Linked DNA regions of Mus musculus. The protein of the gene in region 1 binds, or shares a complex with, the protein of each later gene. Links are inferred from orthologs where the notes say so. Each region holds a gene or a part of one and is shown on either strand. Other genes may lie near its edges.

Region 1 (7,202 bases):
AGCCCAGACTGGCTGCAGACCTGCCATACAGTTGAGGATGACCTTGAATTTCTGGTTCTGCTTCTCCCTGAGTGCTGGGATCCTAGGCATATGTCACTCACTATGTCCAGTTTTATGCAGTCGTAGAGATCAAACCCCAGGGTCATATCCCCAGTCCCTCTTTAGGTAGGCCCTCTTCAGCATTGCCTGTCCCTGTATTAGAAGTGTAAGAATTACCTTACACCTAAGAGAGTGAGTCCCAGTACTTAGGAGGCTGACACAGAACTGCCTCAAGTTTGTGGTCTGTCTGGCTACACAGTAAGTTCAGGGCCTGTCTGTCTCAAAAAGAAAAATGTATAAGCAATAGGTCTTCAGAGGCCGCCTACGATTGCTTCATTTGACTCCTGCTAGTTACCTGTAAAATGTTTAAAGGTGAGGGAAAAGTTAGGAGGATTGAAGCAATTTAGCTAATGTTAGAAGTACTCTAGCCACGCCGGGCGTGGTGGCGCACGCCTTTAATCCCAGCACTCGGGAAGCAGAGGCAGGTGGATTTCTGAGTTTGAGGCCAGCCTGGTCTACAAAGTGAGTTCCAGGACAGCCAGGGCTACACAGAGAAACCCTGTTTCGAAAAACAAAAAACAAAAACAACAAAAAAAGTACTCTAGTCATGGTGTTCTAAGAACAAGACACATACCTTATATACTGGGACAGGCTCTGAGGTAGTGGTGGGCAGACACCTTAGGTCTGCTAAAGTCAATAATGAAATCTTGACTCAGGTTGTATTGGCTTAGGAAGCAAACCTTGATGTAAGAAACCTACCCCATGTATCACTCATTCTGTGGGTGTCAGGTGATGTCATTAACTTTTTCCCGGTGGGGTTGGGGATGACACGGCCCTATCCTGAAGGAATATTTGTCAGGAGCAGTGCTGGGGAAAGGACCGGCAGCAGCCGTGGGGGACTCCTTGTGACCACCAGCTTCCCTTAGAGACCCTTTCACCTTTGGTAAACCTTTTATCTGTCTAGCCTATTGATACTGAGGAAGGAGAAAGATAGATTGTCCAGGAACCTGAGGCAGAAGACCGTAGATGTTTCCTTCTGTCGTGGTGAACTGGGTCGAGTGGTTTGAGGACATTTGGGCAATGTAGTTCTGAGGAGGAAGAGCAAAGTGGAAAGGCTGAGCCTGTCTGGGGTGGGGCAGGCCAGGCAGGAGGAAGTAGCCATCATAGGGAGAGTTGTGAGCAGGAGAGCTGGCTCCTGTAACTGGGAAGCTGGTGGGAACTGAGACAGCCCAGGAGGACTGCTGAGACTGGCTGGCGGCCACTGGAAGTTGATGGGTCAGCACTGGCCAGCATTCCTCTCCTTCTACACACTATACTCCTTCAGAAGTTGCCATGTCCCGAGCCTTCTAGGGCCCAAATAGACTTGAATCAGGTCTGCTTATCCAGATTGCAGCTGACACAGCCAGCAGGGGTCTCTACTGATGGACTTAAGGCAGTAGATTAGAACAAGGTCTGAACCAGGACAAGGAAAGTCCAATGTTAGGAGATGTAGTTTTGGTTTAATTCTAAATTGGTTCTGGTGTTTGAGGTTGTCTGTGGAGGTTAGTAAGCAGGGTTGCTGGAGACTGGGCTGACTGGGTCAGGGAGAGTGTAGTTTGTCTGGGAGGAAGAGCTCCACTGTTCTCTCAGGTCAGCAAATCAGGAGGTAGAGGCCCGACCCTGGCGAGTACCAGGCCAGCTGGGTTCTATAGTACCCTCGCAGCCTGGGGAACATGGGAGGACTGTGCTTTGTGTGCATGTGTGTACAAAGATCCTGGAGAGAAAGGGGGGGGAGAGAGGACATTGGTGACTGTATCTCGGCTGTGGGCTTGGAGTTTCTGCACTAAGATAAAGCGAGGAATGGCAGCGTACAACTGGCCTGCTTCCTTGCAGTCCAGGGACTTATCTGGCCATGCTAGGGCCTTATGTTGTGGGTAGACATCTTTGCTGGGCAGTACTTTCCCCGGGGAACCAGGAAGGCTGTTCTTGGGCTTTTGACTTGCATTGATTTCTCCTCTAGAACCTTACTTTGATATTTTCCCGCCTTCTCCAACTTTCAGTCAGTTCCAATAGCCTTTGTCCAGAAGGGGTTGACCAGTTACTGAGGCTCCAGGAATGTCAGTGTTGCTTTGCTCCCCTCTGAATGTTTTTTAGGTTCTCTAGGTTCATCCTAGACCACCAACTGGGCCAGTCTGAGAGTGAATGTTTTCTGACTCTGCATCTACCTGGACACTTGGAGTCATGCTCATAAAAGTAGTTTTAGTATGTCAGAACCTTTGAAATGAAAGGAAGATTAGACTTAAGGCCCTGGGGCTGACTTTTCTCTACTGGCCCCTCCTAGGATCGGGAGGAGAGGAAGCTGCTGCTGGACCCCAGTAGCACCCCTACCAAAGCCCTCAATGGAGCCGAGCCCAACTACCATAGCCTACCTTCAGCTCGCACAGATGAGCAGGCCCTGCTTTCCTCCATCCTTGCCAAGACAGCTAGGTGAGTGTCACAGGACCAGGCTGGGACACAGGCAGCCAAGTTTGGAACATAGAGGATGGGACAAGGTCATTAGGGAGCGATGTCACTGGGTTCTGCCTTGTTACGGTGGGCTGGCTGAGTACTAGTGTCAGAAGGCCTTGGGATTCGCACCTAGCACTGCTTCTCGTCTGTGACCATCTAAAGCACCTGTCATGTCTTCTCTGTCTCTCCTTTTCAAAGCAACATCATTGATGTGTCTGCCGCAGACTCCCAGGGCATGGAACAGCATGAGTACATGGACCGGGCAAGGCAGTACAGGTAAGCATGGGCCAGCTGCCTAGACATCCTTCTCTAGCTCGGGAGTTTGCTCTCCAGTCCAGGCTCTTCATTTGGGTGGAGCCCAGAAAACTAGCTACAGATCACTTAAGTGCCTCAGGCATTCAAGTCGGCCCAGTTTGCCCAATGTGTTTGATCCAGGGTGATCAGGTCAAAGGAGTACAGCCAGAGTGAGTTTGGAATGAACTGTACCCTGTCACCATGATCCCTTGGCCTGAGGGAGTGAGGCTGGCCTGGGCAGGACAGGGCAAGCTTTGGCCTAATTGTCCTTCCCTGTCTCCTCCCTCTTGGCCAGTACCCGCTTGGCTGTGCTTAGCAGCAGTCTGACCCATTGGAAGAAGCTGCCACCGTTGCCATCTCTCACCAGCCAGCCCCACCAAGTGCTGGCCAGTGAGCCTATCCCCTTCTCTGACTTGCAGCAGGTGAGCACTCCTGGCTGGTCCCCTACCACTTCCCACATGGCTTCCCAGGGGTGGAGGGTGGGTGGGTGGGAAGCCTAGTATTGGTGCACCCAGTTTATTCCCACTTTGGTCTTGGTTTTCACAGTGTTCTTAGTCTCCCCCACCCCCACCTCCCCGCCCCAGTCACACACACACTGTTTATTCTCCTAGCATCTGCCCTTGCTTTTGTCTTTTTCTCTCACTTCCTTCCAGAGATAAAACAAGGGCTTTGTGCATGCAAGGCAAGTGCTCTACCAGTAAGCTACAATCTTTTTTTTTTTTAAATTTACCTATTTATTATATGTAAGTAAATTGTATCTGTCTTCAGACACACCAGAGGAGGGCATGAGATCTCATTAGAGATGGTTGTAAGCCACCATGTGGATGCTGGGAATTGAACTTAGGACCTGCGGAAGAGCAGTCAGTTCTCTTAACCGCTGAGGCATCTCTCCAGCCCTTAAGCTACAATCTTAACCTAACCTTTGGGCTTTGAGAGAAGGACTCAGTGTTATAGCCCAGGCTGGAACTGAATTGTGGCCCTTCTGATTTTGCCTCCCGAGTGGTGGGATTATAGGCAAGCAGCAGCACACCCACAGCTCCTTTGGCTTTCAGTCCACTCTTCCTTCTTTCCTTTACTGCCCCTCCCTCTGCTCACACTCTTAAGTCTCCCTCTCATGTTGTTCTTTCCCTCCCTGGCCTCTGTCTCAGGTCTCCAGGATAGCTGCGTATGCCTATAGTGCACTTTCTCAGATCCGCGTGGATGCGAAAGAAGAGCTGGTTGTACAGTTTGGGATCCCATGAAGAGAGGGGCCCTAGGACAGCTCTTCCCTCGTCTTCACCCCGTCTCCACCCCACCTCTTCTGGCCCCCAGCCTCACTGTGGCTCTCTACAGTACCTAACCTGCTACTAATCACGGAGAAGAATGTGGAGGGAAAGAACAAGGCTGGAGGCCGGAGCAAGTGAGGACTAAGCAAGGGAAGGGAGGACCGATTGCCATCGGCCTTCATGCTCTGGTTAGGGTGAGGTTGGGGCCAAGAGGACAGGGCCTGGCAGATCTTCAGTCATTGGGAAGATGGAGATACCACTGTAGGGGTGACACCGGGAGACCTAGGAGATCCCTTCCTGCCCTCTTTCTCTTGGCCTCCGATTCACTCCTGTCCCCTTCCCTGACTTGGTGCTCACAGGCACCTCACTGGGGATTATGACCAGGGTCTAGACGAGCTTGAGTCTGAATTGAGTTTGTATTTCTAGCACCCTGGGTTTTTACATGTTTGCTCTTTTTGTTTTTGTTTGTCACCCCTCGATAAAGAAAGTATATTCATTTGTGTTGCTGGTTCAACCTGCTCTGTCCTGCCCACTCTTTACTTCTGGCTGTTCAAGTCTGCAAGCAGTGCAGTGCTGCAAGCAGAAGAAAGTCGGCAGCAGCATTAAAGAGGAAGCAGGAGACAAAAGTTCAGGGTTCCCGGGTCTTAGATGATACATTGTGGGATGACCCCAGGAGGATAAGTATTCATTGTCCCTTCTCCATTGATGGTCACACTGTCAGAGCTGTTCAGACTTGACTATGAGGCAGCTGTGACCATTGGTGCCCCTGCCTCAGGAGGCTTACACATTGCCCCTAGTGGTGGGAAAGACCCTGCTCTGCTTGTCGTCTTTTCAAGAAATGATTGTCTTCTCCTGTCCCAGCAGGGCCTCACTATGGAGCCCTGGCTGCCCTCGAACTCACAGAGAGCTTGCCTCTTTCTCCTAGAGCTGGGATTAGAGTTTTATGCCCAGCTAGGAAATGAAATCTTTTTTTTTTTTAAAGTTTATTTATGAGTACACTATCTTCAGATGCACCAGAAGAGGGCATCAAGTCTCACTACAGATGGTTGTGAGCCACCATGTGGTTGCTGGGAATTGAACTCAGGACCTCTGGAAGAGCAGTCAGTGCTCTTAACCGCTGAGCCATCTCTCCAGCCCCCTAGGGAATGAAATCTTGACCAGAATCACAGCCTGAGAGTAAAACTACCCTGCTCTGCTAGAAGTAGATCACAGCTGACTGCTGTTCCTAGTCTGGACGCTGAAGGCAGCGCCACACACCTTGGTACTTATGAAGATTTCTGTGAGGCATGGTGGCTTCTTCCTGAAATACCAGCACTCAGGAGGCTGAAGCAACAGGATTGCTACAAGTTCAAGGCCACCTTGGGCCACAGAGTCAGAATCTCTTGAAAAAAAAAAGGATTTTAGAAATTGCTCATCTACTCTCATCCCACGAATACTAAAGAGTACAAAAGGGGCCCAGAGAGGACAGAAAGGTTTCCTGAATGGCAGAACCTGGCTCCTGGGTCCTAAGCCAGCAAGCAGGCTTTTGCCTTCACTGTGAAGTTTTACTAGAAGTTGCTGAGTGTAGAGGGCATCTTAACAAGGTACAGGGGACTTATAATCTGTTCAACAGCTCAAATCATTTATTGTCAAACCAAGCTGATTATCCTCAGGGCATTCGGTGTGCTGGGTCCTGCGAATCTCAGAGAACATCCTGCTTGGCCCGGACCTTCTTGGGCTTGATGTTCATGCGTTTCCAGACTTCAGCTGTGCTGCGATCGGCCCTGGTGACTCCACTGAAGTCAAACGTGGTGATACGGGGCAGGTTGCACAGCACATACTGCCTGTGAGGAAGACTTGGGCTGGGGCCAGCCCCTACAGCAGGGAATGGCAGGGAGCTTGACGATGGTTTGGGAGGACTGGGTTCATTCTGAGAGCAAGGGGCATGCTTAGAGGTCTGGTACGTCCTGGGTCCACGTGTGGCAGAAGAATGGTCTTGAATTTCTTGTCTCCTCTCCCCTTGTTCCTTAGGGAAACTCATCTGGACCTTAGATCCAGGCACTTACCTGTACCCCTTTTCTTCCTCTATGGGGTTCCCATGGAGGGTCAGGCTCCGGAGACGAGGGAGGACAGCTAGCTTATTCACCTCCCCTAGGCGATGGATGCCGTTGCCGTGAAGGTAGAGGACACTTAGGTTGAAGAATGTTGTTAGGACCTGTTAGGGTAGAAATCAAAAGTCAGGCTGGACAAAGACTGGATCTCAGCTCAGCATGGACTATCTGGCCGAGGAAGAAAAGTTTGGAGACCAGCTTGGCCTTCCTCTCCAGCTCACATAGCCATTATATGACTCTAATATGCTTTCGATACTTTTAAAAAAATACTGCAAAAAAAACAAAAAAAAAATTACTGTTTTTTTTTAGTAGGGCATGGTGCCACATGGGATAGGTGGATACATGAGTTTGAGACCAGCCTGGCCTACAAAGGGAGTTCTAGGACAGGCAAGGCTGCAAAGAGAAATCCTGTCTTTTTAAAAAAAAAAAAAGAAAACTTTTTATATGATATATGGTTATTTTGCCTACATGTATGTATGTATAGCACTTGCAGAGGCCATTGGATACCCCCTCCCCCAATGAAACTGGAGTTATGGATAATTGTGAGCCATCATGTGGGTGATGGGAACTGGAAGGGCAGCAAGTGCTCTTAACTGCTTAGTCATCTTTATGGCCCTTACTTTATGTGTATCAGTGTTTGCCTCCATGTATGTTTGTGCCCTGCATAAGAGGCTGGTGCTTGTGAGTCAGAAAAGGACATCAAATGGATGGTTGTTAACCACCATGTATGTGCTGGGAACTGAATCTGGGCCCTCTGCGAAAGCAACAAGTATTCAACTGCTGAGCTCGCTTGCTCTCTCTCTCTCTCTCTCTCTCTCTCTCTCTCACACACACACACACACACACACACACACACACACACGAGTAAATTAACCTTTTAAGTGCTTTTTAGAGAAAAAAAAACCCTAAAGGAGACTAGTCAGGTGACAGCTCTCCTTCTTGAGTCTTAATTGCTCCTTAAGGCCTTTCCAACTGAGATGACCATCTGCAAGGGAGTATCAGCTCGGCACATACGTTTGAAGATCCT
Region 2 (7,754 bases), on another chromosome or scaffold:
GCTCAGGGTGTCCCCATCCTTGAGGATCTTGCCTGCGAAGATCAGGACCAGCTGATCCTGCTGAGCCTTAAACCTCCGGGAGATCTCCTCCTTGAACTGTGGTCAAGAGGCAGAGATCACTGCAGAGGCCAACTGCGCCCCGCTGCAAGACTTGACCCTCAGTTCTGCCCCTCTAGCTACAAGAATCCATTCAATTAGTTCCATGACACAGTATCCCAACCCTGGAAAGCCCCTGCTGCTATCCACAACAGCAGCTTCTGTCCCACCACCCAATTCTCTGAAAGTGATACCTCACAGAGGCATGGGCAGCCCTCCCCATCCTAAATCCTTCAACTAGCCTTGGGCTCAGGCTGTCTCTCTTCAGCCTTCTCTCTGCTTTTCAGTCCCAGCTTCCTCATCACTATAACAGATAATCTAGAGTATTATTGAGATCTATTGAGGAATCTAGTGTGTTAGTTACCATCTCTACTTAATTAAATTAATTAAATTTAATTAATTAATTAATTAATTAAGAGACAGGGTCTCTGCATGTAGCTCTTGCTGTCCTGGAACTTTCTATGTAGACCTCGAACTCAGATAGATCCACCTGCTTCTACCTCCCCAGGGCTGGGAATTTAAAGATAAGGATCAGAGAAGAGGTAATGTATCCGGGGATATAGGAACTCAGGTCTGGACATCAATGTCTTCATCAGACACATTCTCAATAAGAGCTGTTTTATAATTCAGCTTTTCCCAGGGGACTTAAAATTCTCTAATGAGAGAGCAGCAGTGGTACCAACGGCTACACTGGGGCGAGTTAAATTTTCTAGATTCTATCAGCTCCTCCAAAACACAACACAACACAACACATATTCTAACTATAAACAGTGCACTTGCTAAGCAAAAGATCCCTCTCTTCCAACCAGATGGCCTATTCTAAGCCCCGCCTATGTGCAATTCTGGAGCAGCTTCAAGCAGTGGGGAACACAGGCAATACTCCCTCACTCATTCTATATTATTTTGTTGAGCACCTACTGCGCTCAGCAAATCCTGTAGAGCAGAAAACTGAACTACACAACCGTTTCGATTTGCGACAAGGAGGCTCTGTGGAGAGAGAGAGAGAGGGAGAGAGAGAGAGAGAGGGCACCACCACCACGCGACACTCCCGGGAGAGCATAGCCGCAGCTCGCTCGGGCCGCACGGTGCCTTAGCGCCTGGAACCTCTACCAGTGACCCTGGAGCACACTCTCCTCAAGCCTAGGCTCCAAATGGAGCCCGCAAGCAAGGTGTCCCTTCCTCAAGCTCCCCCACCACGCCCCCAGCCCGGGTAGCGCGGCCAAACCGGCCCCTACCCGCGCCACGCTCCCCGGACTAGCCCTGGCAGGGCGCCCCCTACCCGCTTCTCCCGCCTGTATGCCCCTGGATTCCGCCCCGGCCGGGGGCCCGTCCCCGGCGCCAGGCCGACCCCGAGGTCTCCCTCTCTGCTCTGACCCCCTCGGTGCGCTGCTCCCGCCCTCCTGTCTCCTCCCAGCCAGATACTACCTCCTTGACCGAGGCTTGATCGCAGATCACGATCTCCTCCTTGTCCTTGGGGGTCTTGACGGTGACCCGAATCTGGGGCCTCGTCTCAGCCCCACTCGGCTCCGCCATGCCGCCGCCCGGCCGCCCGCCAGCCCGTCCGGCTCCTCCTCCTCCTCCTCCCGGCCCGCCCGGCCCGGCCCGACTCCGGGGCCTCCAACTCCCCCTCCCGCCCCTCCCCAAGGCTCCGCCGCCCACTCCGGACAGCCGCAGCCACAGCGCCCCGGGCGGCCTGGGGGAGCACTGCAGCTGGGGCGGCCCAGGCCCGAGCAGGGTGCGCAGCTGGCCCGGGCCGGACAGCGCGGAGGGCGGGAGATTCAGGGCCGCCTGCGGCTCCCTCCTGTTCGGACAAAGGACTTTCGTTGTCGCCGTCTTATCTCCGTTCCCTGGGGTCACTTGGTTTTCTTGAGAGGCCTGGGTTCGTTCCTGGTTCAGGACGTCCTTAAGACCTCTGCGGATTCGAGCAGTCGTGGCCTCCGGGGAACCGCCCCGAGGGAGCCATTAAGGACGGTTTCAGAGACCTGGAGTTTGCCTACGTGGCTTCTCTGAGCCTTGGGAGTAAAAGAGCAAGACCCCACAGAATTGTGACTAGCGTACAATATTGCTTTAAAAAATGGTCAAGGATGTGCCTAACAGATAGATTTATTATTAGATTGCGATTGACCAGTAGGCACGAAGGCGTCCTTCGCGTGGAAGATGTTAAAAGTATTTCCACCGTTGCCACTGTCCTTGCGCTCCCGCTCTCCCCCCCCCCAACTCCACAACCACATGGTCCCACTGGAACGCTGAACTATGGTTCCCAGAATTCCTTGAGCGATCACATGAAACTACGATTCCCAGAGGCCCTCGCGCGGGGCGGGAATTGGGCCAGAGCCTCAGTAGATGGGCCCGGTGACTACAACTCCCAGGCGCCTCGTAGCTGGGCTCCTGGGCCACCGGAAGCGACTGAGGGAGAGCAAGAGGCTGCGACTGTAGGGGTGTGTTGGTGCAGGTCAGGGTTAAGAGACGCAGGCATGCTGCGTCCCAAGGCTTTGACGCAGGTGCTAAGCCAAGCCAACACTGGAGGAGTCCAGAGCACCCTGTGAGTGAACAAGAACCCAAGCAGCGAGCGCTGGAATGGGGCGGCGCGCGGCTGTCTGCAGTAGGGGTAGGGAAGAGCCCTACGCCGGGAGGTGGCTAATGTTGCAAGCTGCAGCTTCGGAAACCCTGCTTGAGGGCTTCCTCGGAAAGGGAAATGGACAGTTGATTAGCGTGTTCCTGGATTCTTGCTTCCTAAAAGCGCCAGTAGCTGGAATTGGGATAGGAACTCAGACCTTTCACTCTTCCTGAGTTTGTTGATATCCTTCCCATTCTTGCCAGGCTGCTGAATAATGAGGGATCGCTGCTGGCCTACTCCGGTTATGGGGACACAGATGCCCGGGTCACTGCGGCCATCGCCAGTAACATCTGGGCCGCGTATGATAGGAACGGGAACCAAGCGTTTAATGAAGACAGTCTCAAATTTATCCTGATGGACTGCATGGTATGGAGTAAAGTAGGCTGACTTCGAACTTGCAATGATTATCCTGCTTCTGCCACCTCAACCCTGAGATTGCAGGTGTGCACCATCGCACCTTGCCAAATAAAACATAGATATTAAAAAAGGAAGTGAGAGTACGGTGCTGGCCTATGTGAGGGTCCATCTCAGTGAAAAGGAGACATTTGTTAAAAGATCCGAAGGACGATAGGAAAGGGGAAGAGAATTAAGCCATACAGCAATCATTTGGGGAAATATTTCTAACAGTGCTTGCTATGGTGGCTTATGCCTCTAGTTCAGTACACGAGAGACTGAGGCAGGCTCTCTTCGAGTATTTGTTTTCTTTCTTTCTTTTTCTTTTTTTGTTTTTCGAGACAGGGCTTCTCTGTGTAGTCCTGGCTGTCCTGGAACTCACTCTATAGAATCAGGCTGAACTCTGAAATCTGCTAGCTTCTGCCTCCCAAGTCCTGGGACTAAAGGTGTACACCACCACCGAGCAGACTTTGCAAGTATTTCTGACAACAGCAATTGCAAAGGGCCGAGGGCGGAGTGAGGCTTGGACAAAGATCAGTAAAGATGGAGCATCACAGAATGGGAAAAGGTTGTCGGGAGAAAGGGCTAAAGTCCTCTGAAGAGTGGCAGTGTGCAGAACTGAAAAAGGTGTTTGCAGTGGGGAAGGCCCCTTGGGAAGCTCTTCACTGTCATGCTGGCAGCCCATTCTTTACACCCACTCTCATTCACACTGGGTACTGAGTCCAGGGCTGGTGTCACTGCAGCCTAGCTAAGCTCTAAGAAATGCTTTTTAAGGGACAGATGTGGAGCTCAGTGGTAGAGCAGTTGCCTAGAGTGTTTGGGATTCTAGAACCCATTCCAAGAAACACAGTTTTTATTTTTGAGTCAGAGGCTAGTATACACACTGGAGCAAGTTCTGTGAAACATCACTTCTCTCACATAGATGTGCCATGACATTTTTATTGTTATTTTCAAATGTTGACCCACCCTAATTGATCCCCATTTTGAAAAGTTACACCATAGGAAAAGAAGAGACATAAGTTGGGTTGTGTGTGTGTGGGGGGGAGTTGTTTTTACCTTTTTAAGGTTTGTTTTATTCTGTATGTATGAGTTGCTTTGCCCAGGTGGTATATATGTGCCCCATGTGCATGCATGATGCCCCCAAGGAGGCTGAAAGAAGGCATTGGAGCCCCTGAACTGCTGTTATAGATGATTGTGAGCACAGTGTTGGTGTTGGGATTCGAACTCAAGCCTACTGCCAGAGCAGCATACGAGTTGGGTTCCTGGTCCTGACCTGCTGAGACAGTTCTCGGCATTAGAGAAGAGAACCCCAAGTTCTGGAAGACTTGGTTTCCCAGGATAGCTTGGTTAGCACATGGCTCAGCTGAGGCTGGAATCCAGTTTCAGACCCCCATGTCTTAAATGCTGGGCAGAGCTCCTAGCTGAACTTCCTGCTCTGCTAAGCTTGGGAGACAATGTCACTAGGACCAGAGGAACCCTGGGGAAGGCAGGAACTAAGGATGTCAAGCAGAATGCCCCAAAGTATCATGTCCTTCCCACCAGGAGGGCCGTGTAGCCATTACGAGGGTGGCCAACCTTCTGCTATGTATGTATGCCAAGGAGACCGTAGGCTTCGGAATGCTCAAGGCTAAGGTGAGTATATTCCTCTGTTATAAACTTTCTGGGCTGTAACATCTATGCATGCCCTTGCTCTGAATAAAGGACATGGAGACTTTAATTAGGTTTATTATGAGCTTTGGGCACTATAGCTGGGCAGATTCTCAACTATTCTAACCCAACCATATTGGCTTGGCCTATGTCCATGACCCATTACCTGTCCATCTTAGTCATGTCCTGGTACCTGCTTCCTCATCTTTGTCCAGCTGGCAACTCCTCTCCCAGAATTCCTATCTCTTCCTGGAAGTCCCACCTCCTACTTCCTGCCTTTGCTTTTTAATAAGCTGATCAAAAGGTGAGCGAGAGTGTTTACAAAATATGTAGCCAAATGAAACCAAATGAACCAAAGTCCAGTCTGCATTAAACTCTGCTGGCACAGAAATCGGCATTTGAATAATAATACAAAGATGATCTTTACATAGGGCGCAATATCATCATCCCAGCACTGATCCAGCCTTAGTTCCTGTTCACTGTGTTCCTTACATGTCCCTCCCCTCTCTGGAGTTCTCATAGCTCCTCACTCCATGTCTAGGATGGGCTAAAGAGCAGTGGGGGTGGGCTGGGGGGGGAGTTGGCTGCTAAGTGTGGCGTGGGGAGCCAGCGTGGTTCAGGGATCCGTCTAAGCATAAGCGATGCATGGACTGACTGTGCTCCTGCCTCCTTGCAGGCCCAGGCCCTGGTGCAGTACCTGGAGGAACCCCTCACCCAAGTAGCAGCATCATAACAGCGTGATGGAGGCTGGAGTAGAAAAGGGATGATGATCTGGAGGGAGGGGCGGGGCCCTAGAAACGCCATATCGGGCGAGGTACAGGAAGGGGGGGTTGCTTTTTTCTGAATAAATTTTCAACTCTTACCTGTGTCTCACCTGCTTTCTTGGGAGGAAAGTGTGGAGTGGTTTCCTCGGGAGGATTCCCCTCTCCTGCAAAGGTGGGCTCTCTCATTCCCCATCACCAAATCTCTCAGTGGTTCTTGGCAGGGCTGCCCAGTGCCCTTGGCTTCTCCAGTGCTGTGTCTCATCATACTCCTAATTGCTTTTTTTTTCCATTAATTTATATGTTTATTCTATTTACATTGCAAAAAGCTCCCTTCCCATCCTCCCAGAATTGCTTTTCTTTAAACAATTTGTTTTTTGGTTTTTGTGAGACAGGATTTCTCTGTATAACCCTGGCTGTCCTGGAATTCACTTTGTAGACCAGGCTGGCCTCCAACTCAGAAATCCGTCTGCCTCTGCCTCCCAAGTGCTGGGATTAAAGGTATGTGCCACTACACCCGTGTGAAAAAATTGTTTAGGTTATTTTATGTACATGAGTGTTTTGACTGTTTGTGTGTCTGCACTTGTGCCTGTAAAGGGCATCAGATATCCCTGAAACCAGAGTTAGCAGGTGGCTGTGAGAGAGCTATGCTGAGAACCTAACCAGGGTCTTCTGCAAGAGCAGCGGTGCCCTTAGCTGCTGAGCTCACTCAACCCTCAGAGCAGAATCTCACCCGCCCGTTTTGCAGCACCTGGGACTGATCTAAAGGAGCAAATGCCTGTTCTTGCTGGACACAGAAAATAGAGGTCACCCTTTCTAATTTAAGGAGTGCTCCTGCTCCTTTCCCTACCTTTTCATGATCCTCTCTGCAGCATTTGTTTTAATTTAAAAAAAAAAAAATCGTGTGTGAGCACAGCAGACTCCTCTGCATTGCCTTTACTTATTTACTGTTTGCGTACATGACGCGTGGATAGGTGTGTCCCACATACAAGCATGGCAGTCAGAAGATTGACCCCCAGAAGGCCTCAAGGTCTTCATCTCAGATCCTGCACCCATATTCACCGCATCCAGCTCTTTCTGCCCTTGTCTCTGAGATCCGTCCACGAAGGTAGTAAATCTGTTTATTGTATGTTAGGAAGGGACCCATCTGGGCAGGTGGCGTCCCAGCTCCACCTGTGTGAGAAATGCTGCCCCTCCCTGGCCTGGGGCTGTTAAGGAGGGGCCGGATGCTGCGTGCTGGTACAGCTCCCAAAACTCTGCATTGTGGGGAGATGCTGTGCCCAGCTTGCATTTCTTGCCCTGATAGCCCTTCCCCTGATGCCCCCCGGTATGTGTCCTTACCAAAACCTGAGATGGGAAAGCTGGAGGCCGGTACGTTTCTGCCCCACCCCGTGTCTACTTCAGCCCAGTGGCAGCTCTCCTTCTTAGAACCCCCAAAACCCAGCAATGTACACTCGGGCTCGCCGCAGCCTCACCCACTGTTACCTCTGTGACCAGGCCCTCTTATTTGGGGGAGTGTGGGCCAAGAGCAGACACCTAACCTGTTTAACCTGTCTGACGTCATCATCGCTCCACCCACCTGTGCCCCAGGTGCCCAGCGGAGCTGGCTAGCTCTTCCTGTTCTCAGCTTCCGTCCTCTCAGCTCCCACAGAGTAGCTAAACGTGCCAGAGCTGAGCCTCTGGGGCTCTTCCTGGCCTCAACTGAGCCCTCTTGTCCTTTTCCCCCAATGAGAGAGGAGCCAGGTGCAGGTCTCTTAAAAGCTGAGAGTTGAGGCCATTTAAACAATAAACAGACTCGTGACCTCTGCACCTGCAAACGTCTTCACTCTCCATGCTGAGCCAAGATGGGGAATCGAACAGATGAAGATTATAACTTTGTCTTTAAGGGTAAGTTGGGGTTCTCGAAAAGGGAGACTCCAGAGAGGGTGGGAGAGAGGCTATTTCCAGAGGACACAGGGTCTCCCTTTTATTTTTATCTCTACCTTGGACATTCTCCCCCCACCCGTCCCCAAGCTCAGCATTCCTTCTCCGAGAGAAAGGCCATGAGGAGTAGGCATGTCTGGTTACAGGTACAGATGTTCTGGAGTTGTATGCTCTCTATAAAGATGTGGATAATTTCTCCCTATTGCCAAATTATTCTTCCCTGCCCAGTCTCTAATAGATGCTCAAATCCCTGGGAATGTCAGTGAAGCCCAAGAGATGGAAGTCGGACTTCAGAAAGGACTTTCAGAGTAGAGGGA

Evidence for each region.
Region 2: Lamtor1 (region 1) and Lamtor2 share a complex: the UniProt entries of both Homo sapiens proteins name them as parts of the ragulator complex. The link is inferred for Mus musculus from reciprocal best matches to the Homo sapiens genes LAMTOR1 and LAMTOR2.

Annotation. Positions count from the first base shown.
Region 1 is NC_000073.6:101,907,305-101,914,506, forward strand, and holds the end of Lamtor1 (ragulator complex protein LAMTOR1), read left to right. Parts: intron 1-2,359; coding exon 2,360-2,505; intron 2,506-2,724; coding exon 2,725-2,802; intron 2,803-3,115; coding exon 3,116-3,242; intron 3,243-3,968; coding exon 3,969-4,061; 3' UTR 4,062-4,599; downstream 4,600-7,202. Other genes in the region: Lrrc51 (leucine-rich repeat-containing protein 51), read right to left, coding at 5,767-5,908, 6,131-6,279. UniProt on the Homo sapiens protein: Key component of the Ragulator complex, a multiprotein complex involved in amino acid sensing and activation of mTORC1, a signaling complex promoting cell growth in response to growth factors, energy levels, and amino acids.
Region 2 is NC_000069.6:88,547,680-88,555,433, reverse strand, and holds Lamtor2 (ragulator complex protein LAMTOR2), read left to right. Parts: upstream 1-2,482; 5' UTR 2,483-2,570; coding exon 2,571-2,638; exon of another isoform or gene 2,639-2,704; intron 2,705-2,916; coding exon 2,917-3,079; coding exon of another isoform or gene 3,080-3,100; exon of another isoform or gene 3,101-3,204; intron 3,205-4,648; coding exon 4,649-4,738; intron 4,739-5,429; coding exon 5,430-5,486; 3' UTR 5,487-5,615; downstream 5,616-7,754. Other genes in the region: Ubqln4 (ubiquilin-4), read right to left, coding at 1-96, 1,522-1,629; Rab25 (ras-related protein Rab-25), read left to right, coding at 7,359-7,401. UniProt on the Homo sapiens protein: As part of the Ragulator complex it is involved in amino acid sensing and activation of mTORC1, a signaling complex promoting cell growth in response to growth factors, energy levels, and amino acids.